2 linked regions of the Ovis aries genome follow. The protein of the gene in region 1 interacts with the protein of each later gene in a pairwise test. Links are inferred from orthologs where the notes say so. Each region holds a gene or a part of one and is shown in the gene's direction. Other genes may lie near its edges.

Evidence for each region.
Region 2: the proteins of CRY1 (region 1) and BMAL1 interact in a two-hybrid assay, tested with the Homo sapiens proteins (3 studies listed by BioGRID, with this or other methods). The link is inferred for Ovis aries from reciprocal best matches to the Homo sapiens genes CRY1 and BMAL1.

What each region holds. Positions count from the first base shown.
Region 1 is NC_056056.1:175,886,855-175,890,671, reverse strand, and holds part of CRY1 (cryptochrome-1), read left to right. Parts: intron 1-822; coding exon 823-1,007; intron 1,008-1,323; coding exon 1,324-1,412; intron 1,413-1,935; coding exon 1,936-2,076; intron 2,077-2,164; coding exon 2,165-2,476; intron 2,477-3,673; coding exon 3,674-3,817.
Region 2 is NC_056068.1:39,160,310-39,164,597, reverse strand, and holds the start of BMAL1 (basic helix-loop-helix ARNT-like protein 1), read left to right. Parts: upstream 1-1,250; 5' UTR 1,251-1,360; intron 1,361-4,288. UniProt on the Homo sapiens protein: Transcriptional activator which forms a core component of the circadian clock.

The sequences.
Region 1 (3,817 bases):
TTGTATTTAATTTGGTTATAAATACCATTAGCAAGCTCTTTGTTTTTAGTATTACTTAATTGAGAAATTAGTGATCAGAATTAAATATAAAATATATATGTAAGATACATATGTTAACATTTAAAAAAAACATGCACAATAGAAAATACCAAGTAATTATCACTATAGTAATATAGAATCCTAATTAATAAAACTTGCTAATTACTCCTTGATACAATATTGGCCTGGTTTAGCTTTTATTGATGATTAGAAGGTTCTCTGAGCTATGCTGCAAAATAGTTTTACATTTCCATGTGTATTATTTTTTGTTTTTGCCTTTAGGCTTATTAGCCACTTGTTTTTTCCACTTATAGATGCTTAATTTTCTTTGTCATAAAAGTTTTGATATTTGCAGGCTGTATATTTTTGACATCTAGCAGATGTTTATAAACTGATTTTTAGATTTGTTAATTGTTTTAACAAGTTTCTTGGTCCTATAAGAAGCTAATATTCTTGAAGTCTTAAGTGCAAATGGCTATGGTGAAAAAGAATAATGGGTTATTCCCAAATTGTATCTAATTCAGATTACCATTGACAAGGCTCTTTCCTTATAGTATTACTTAATTGAGAAATTAGTGATCAGAATTAAATATAAAAGATATACGTAAGATACATATATTGACATTAAACAAAAACGTACAATAGAAAATAGAAGTGATTTTTCATTTTTATTTTCATTTTTACTATCTCCATTTAATTTTCTTATTTTAGACTTTTAAATGTTTATCAAATTATATTGTCCTTTTAAAAATACTAATAGTATTTTACTAATTTTTGTAATAGGATCATAGAACTAAATGGTGGTCAGCCACCTCTTACCTATAAAAGATTCCAGACTCTCATCAGTAAAATGGAACCACTAGAAATACCAGTAGAGACAATTACTTCAGAAGTGATGGAAAAGTGCACAACTCCTCTATCTGATGACCATGATGAGAAATATGGAGTCCCATCACTGGAAGAACTAGGTAGGTATAAGCAATAATACATGTGGAGCTTAAGAGTTAATAAACCATTCAGAAAAATTCCACTTCTAATTTGACATGTATTTTGCACTAAAAGGAAAAGAAAGGAGAAAAAAGAAAGTCTTAAACTAAAAAGTGATTAATCTGTGTATTATTTACGTATGCTATTAATTCATGGTCTATCTGTTATCACCTTAAGATAAATGTCTCAAAGGACAGAGACCATGTTATTTATCATCTATCTGTGAGGACCTATCCAGGGAGTCATTTCATTTTTATGCTGTCAGATTTTTTTTCCATTTCCTTTTTTTTTTTTTAGGTTTTGATACAGATGGCTTACCCTCTGCAGTGTGGCCAGGTGGAGAAACTGAAGCACTTACACGTTTGGAAAGGCATTTGGAAAGAAAAGTATGATAATACAGATGATGTTTATATTGTCAAATTGTCATTTAAAAAATATTCACTCTTTTTTAAAAACAAAAAAATAGGCTGTTGAAAAAGGAGGATTAAGAGAAATAATTAAAATAGCACAAATGTAATTGAAGATTAACAACTGTTTTCATTTAAATACCCATCTTCCTCCTGTCTGATTATTTCCTCTTTAGCTAGTATCAGTACCACCCCTCTATGGTTTCTGTGTAAGTATCTGATGACTTTAAAGCTAGGATAGAGTTCTTCTATTTCACATTATCTCAGTGTCAGAAAGACAGGTTGAAGGTGCTCTCAACCTTGTGTTAGGAATTTGCCGCATGAGGATGACTAAAACAAAAGAATGCTCACTTTTATCTTGTTTTTTATTAAAATCTGTCATTTATGGCTGAAAAAATGAGATTTTATTCCCCAAGGACTATGTAACGTTCTTGAAAAGCTCAATTTCAAACAGTCTTTTAAAATTGGAAAGGCAGCATAATTTTCTCTGTGTTTTGTTCAGGCTTGGGTGGCAAACTTTGAAAGACCTCGAATGAATGCAAATTCCCTGCTCGCTAGCCCTACTGGACTCAGTCCTTATCTCCGATTTGGTTGTTTGTCATGTCGACTCTTTTATTTCAAACTGACAGATCTCTACAAAAAGGTATTATCTAGAACTGGAGCTTATTTTTAAAAAATACTTTTTATCAAAAAAAAATCACTGATAATACTTCTTTGCTTTTTAATCTTAGGTGAAGAAGAACAGTTCCCCTCCCCTTTCCCTTTATGGGCAACTATTATGGCGTGAATTTTTCTATACAGCAGCAACAAATAATCCACGCTTTGACAAAATGGAAGGAAACCCCATTTGTGTTCAGATTCCATGGGATAAGAATCCTGAGGCTTTAGCAAAATGGGCAGAAGGACGCACAGGCTTTCCATGGATTGATGCCATCATGACACAGCTTCGTCAGGAGGGTTGGATTCATCATTTAGCCAGACATGCAGTTGCTTGTTTCCTGACACGAGGTGACCTGTGGATTAGTTGGGAAGAAGGAATGAAGGTAAATGTTCTTCCAACTAATGTAGTATGGCTTTATTATGAAGAACTCTATACCTTTTATATATATATATATACACACACACACATACACACACACATACACACACACGTATATATATATAAAACAGTTCCTAAAAGTTGTCTATTATATAGATTCGTTTATAGTCTTGTTTCTTTTTTTCAATAGAAAAGCATTTATTTCTTAACTATAGAGGCAACTTTTGGGCATAATCAGAGTGCATTAACCTGAAGTCAGTTAACCTGAAGTCATTTCAGTGGCTAAATCAGCCTACCCATCAAGGGAACTCCAAAATTTAATACTCTGGACTTAGCAGATTTGTGTATATTTATAGGTGATCATTTCTGTCACATAAAGGAGTCATCAAAGAGTCTTAGAAATAGCCATCTTTATATTATAAATTTTAAAATATAAAAAATTTTGCCTCACTTCAACACCATAGCTTTTTATGTAATGTGATGCATACTACATTTTGTGACATCATCTTATGGGTATATATAAGAGGACTTAAATATGTTTTACCTTCCTATCTATTATCATAAATTTCCCCTTTCCAAAGACCATTTCTGATCCTATGTTTTTTTATATCTCTGTTTCCTAGCACCAAGTCATACATGAGGTAGATACATAGCACACACTTAATGAATTTATTAAAATAATTTAATTCTGTTTCCCTTTTGGATCAAGGAATCCCAAATTTAAATTCCATAATTCTAATTAAATTTTAAAGGTCATTTGTATTTGATTGTTCCCATTATGTAGACCAATGTACCAAACTTCCAAGTTGTTTTTTGGTGGTTTATTTGGTAGTATTTTTGCTTTCTTGAAAGTGTTTACTACTTTTTCTTCCTGTTTAAAAAAAAAAAATCTTCCCATATCCTAACTTATCCTTTTAAATCAATGAGTTGAATAACTTTTTCCCTCCCCTTTCCAATAACACTGCCAAGCTTACAATGGTAAATTCTATTCAGAAATCTGTATAGTACTAATATGTTTTTTTCCCCTGGAATAACTCATTATAGGATAGAACATAGATAAGGAAACTAACTTTGGAATGTTTAATTTTATAGTTCAGTGCTAGATTTTCTTTACCTTGACTTTTGATCTACAGAGACCTGGAAAATGCTTGCTTTGAGAAATATCTGTGTGCAAACTAATTGATTACCGTTACTTCTGAAGGTATTTGAAGAATTACTGCTTGATGCAGATTGGAGCATAAATGCTGGAAGTTGGATGTGGCTGTCTTGTAGTTCCTTTTTCCAACAGTTTTTTCACTGCTATTGCCCTGTTGGTTTTGGTAGGAGAACAGATCCCAATGGAGAC
Region 2 (4,288 bases), on another chromosome or scaffold:
AACAAGGCTAGAAATCTAGTGTCTTGGAGAGTAGTCTGGGTCACAAGATTGAGCTAAGTGATTTAGATCAATTTGTTCCCATATCCAGTCAACAAACATGCTAGGAATCAGGCACTGCCCCCATCCCTCTATCTCACTCCCAGCTAGGTGCTAAAGGTGAGGGGGTGAGTATAACAAAAAAGACGAGGTCCTTTCATTTAGGGAGTTTAACATCTAAAAGGGTAGGGAGCTCTTTGTGTTAAAGGCCCTCTGTCAAGTGCTTGAGATGCAAAAATAAGATTCTTCCTCCTCTCAGTACTCAAGTTGTATCTTGTTATGAAACATTTATTTTCTGCAGCTATTTGTTTCCTTCCGTCTCACTCCTTGGACAGCTTTTCTACGGTAGAAACAGAGCCACTGGGAAGTTGTCTGCTACACAGTAGTGCGGCCACTGAAAGGAAAAGCACTGGAATGGCTCCAGGCTAGAGTTTTCTCTTTTGAACAGGAAAGACAGCTCCAATCGGATGCTTGGAGGTCAGGAAGAACGAAAAGAACTTAAGGACACTTGAATTGAAAAACCTTCTAGAAATACCAAGTATTTCTTCTCTCGTTTGGACGTTGGCAAACCAGGATGTTTTGGGTAGGGTCTGGCACTCTGTGTTCCTAAAACTGTTTTCCTAGATGGAGTTGGAGGTAGGGGAACGAGGAAATGTTGCTTTAGTCAGGATGCCCCGAGTGAAAAAAGGAGATGTAGTGAGAGCCGTGACCCAGAAGCAAGTCAGGAACCTAGAGAAGGACATCTCAAGCGACTGCAAAGAGTGCGGCGTCTGGACCCGCAGTGGCCAAGGCTAACGGGAGACCAGGGGAAAGAGAGAGGACAGGGGCGAGGAAATCCAGGGAAAACGCGTCGATTGGTCCTCTCCTTGGGGCGTGTGCTTCTGTGCGCCAAGCGATTGGTGGCGGGAAAGTAGCAGGTAAACCGGCCCTCGCCGCCTCGCCATTGGTCAGCGGCCTCTCTTGCTGCCACACAACTGGCTATTAGGCCGCCGAGCCGCGCGCGGATTGGCCGGGGGTGGCCGCCGAGACCGGCTCTCTTCGGGCTCTAGGATTGGCTGGAGGGAAGAGGCAGGTATCCGGGCTCCGCGACTCCTCCATTGGTGGGCGGGGAAGGGGGGTTGGGCACAGCGATTGGTGGGCGGGGGGCCGGGCCTGGGCCGGCGGGGAGCGGATTGGTCGGAAAGTAGGTTAGTGGTGCGACATTTAGGGAAGGCAGAAAGTAGGTCAGGGACGGAGGTGCCTGTTTACCCGCGCCGGACTCACCGCCGCCGCCGCCGCGGGATCCGAGTGGGGGCGCGGGCGCGGGCGCTCCCGGCGAGCCACGGTGAGTGTCGGGCTGGCCGCAGCCAGCGGTGCGGCCGCGGGCACCCCGTCGGGGCCGTTAGCACCCTGGCAGGCTCAAAGCCCCCGCCGCCGCCCGGGGCGCAGCCCGGCCGCCGGGGAGCCCTGCCCGACGTGCCCGCTGCCGGCCTTAAAGGGCCCGTGCCCGCTCCCTGCCCCCACCCGGGCCGCGGGGAGGCTGCGCCCCTTAAAGGCGCCGCGCTCGTCCGCCCCCATCCTCCCTCGCGGGGGCTGGCGCTGCGGACTAGAACGGGCAGAGGTGCCGCAGGCACCCTTAAAGGGACCGGGAGAGAGTCCGCGGAAATACCCGTCTCCCCTCCGCGGGCATAGCTACCTGAAGTGGCCGGGTTGGGGTTGGGGGGGCGGTGGTGGTGGTGGTGGCAGGAGCAGCCAGCTGCCTCTTAAAGGGACAGCTCCACCCTTTGGGATCAGTGACCCGGCTGAGGGCTAGTCCTAGGATGTATCCCCGGAAGGTTCAGGGACCCCCGAGGGGACCATCCTTGACGGCTGCACTCCAAGGGCGTTGGGTTAGAGATGCGGCTTCTGCCCTTCCTCCCTCTTCCCTCTACTTTCCTTTCGGGAGCCTGCAGGGCTGGGTGGGGGCGGGGAGGGCGTCTCCGCCGGGCTTGGGGAGTCAGAGCCACCCCTTACCCCTTTGACCCTTTCACGGGTGCTGGGGCTGCACCTGGTATTCCCGGCCCGGGGATGCGGCCGACTCCCTCATGCGAACTTCGGTCCGGCCTGCGCCGTCTGGGTCCTGGGCAGTCCGGGGAGGATCCCCGTGGGTCTGCGAGCAGGTGCTCCACGACAGGCGGAATGTCACCCGATGCCCAGGTGTGGGCCCGCCGGCCGCCCTGGAGTCCTGGAGACCCGCGGAGGGCGCAGCGAGGCTGGCTTTAGCACCGGATTTGACAGATGTCAAAGAAAAAGCTTCCCGCTCGAGACTGTCGGGCGTTGACAGCCGAGAGAGCTCTCGTTTGCTCGGAGGAATAAGTGGAAGAATAGAAATTAATGCCGACCTTGTGGGGATCAAGTCAGTCACCCCGAGGGGTCGTGGGAGCCGGCTGCAGAGCCGAGGGCAGACGCAGGGAAAGGAAAGGCACTACTGGCCATAGGCGTCTGTTGTTAAGTTGGTGCTGGCCGGTGGAGTAACAGGCTGTGCCCCCTCACCTCACGTTTCTCAGTGCCCTGTTCCCTCCACTGCTTTGGCCCCTTCCGATCACCTAGCTCTGTTTTGTCTCTTTCCGCGGTTGTGGTCTCCTCTCCCTGCTTGCATAGCTACTCCTCGGCAAGGAATTATTAGCCAAGTTTTATCACTTAGCTTCCAGAAACAAGATTCAAAGAAGCATTTCTTGTCTGTACGTGTATTTCTAGGATCTTCGTTTTTTAAAAAAAAAAAATCCATAAAAGCTGCCCATTAGCTGCATCTAGTTTCCCACAACGCTTGCTTGTCATTGCCCTTCTGACATCCGCCGCTGTTCCCTCTTTTAATCTATTTTTATGTGACAACTATTATTTTAATTCTTCTTGTCCCATTGATATCAGGATCTGTCGATTTGGGTTGGTAGAGTTTTTAATTAATGTGCTGGTTGAATCATGAGCTTAAAATAATCTTTGCTGCTCCAGAGCAGTTTTGAATAATCTCATGCTCTCCGTGCTTGCAAGACTTAAAAAAAGAAAAAAAAAAAATCACTGCTGTTAATTTCGATTTCCATATCAATGAAACTCCAAAATGTTTTCTTAATACAAAGTTCAGCCTTTCACTCCATGCTCTATTACTGAGTTCACTTTATTGCTAAGTCTTTAAAACACTTTGTTAAACATACTTGGAAGGCTTTAAAATTTCCCGGGCAGGGTTTGAAATTGCCTGTATATCTAAAGCTGAATCTGTAGACGTATGTTTTGTTTTGATTGTAGATGTAGCTGGTGAATAATATAAATAGGTTAAAACTATAGTTAAATGTATATCTTATTCCAACCCCTAAGGTTTAGAAAGAGGGAGAGAGAAAAGAGCAGGGGTGGTGGAAGAGTGCTAGCCTGAGAGTTAGAATCTCCTGGTTCCAGCCCAGACTTGGGTTTTCACGGCTGTGCTACTTGGGGCAAGTCACAGAACCCTTCTGGGTTCTACTTGCCTCAGATGGAAAGTAAGACAGGAGACCAAGGTGATCTCAACAGTTCCCTTCTGCTCTAAAGTTCTGTGCTTCTCTGAATATTTAATATGGCTGAATTCGGGTTGGTATTTACCTGCTGGAACCTCCAGAATATCTGAGCTGACGTCCTGTTTTCATAGGAAACTTAAACAGATCAACAGATGGTGTTTTAAAGAATCCATTTCAAATGATTTATAAAATGATGACTATTCAGGAGTTTGTCAGCTATTTGCAGAAGAGGTTTGCCTACCAAAGAGAGGAAAAGGAAGTGGCCCTACTTTCAGATTTATCACTTCATACCAATGATCTATATGCCATTTATATATACTAAACAAGGGACAAGCACTGTAGAAAGACTCGTTAACAAAATGCATATGCATATGTCAAAGCTAAATATTCAGTATCTCTCTTTGGTATAAGGGCTGCCTTCCTTTTGTGGGTTTTCTTCTATTTGTGTTTCTATCGTCGACTCCCATGGTAGTTGGAGAAAGTCAAATATTAAAGGAACATTTTCTGCCCCAAATGATATTACAATCACAGGCAGTGATTTGAATTAACATCATGGTAGCAAACGAAGGGAAGTAATTGTTTACTTTCTTTTTAAACCTTGAGGTTTAATTGAAAGCCTGGAAATGCAGGCATGTCACCCTTCTCCACAGTCTTTTCTCTCCTCATTGCCGCTTCATTATAACACTCAGACTTACTCCTAACATCCACCCTGGCTTTCCTCCTCCTCTCTCTAAACAAGACCTGCTCTGACT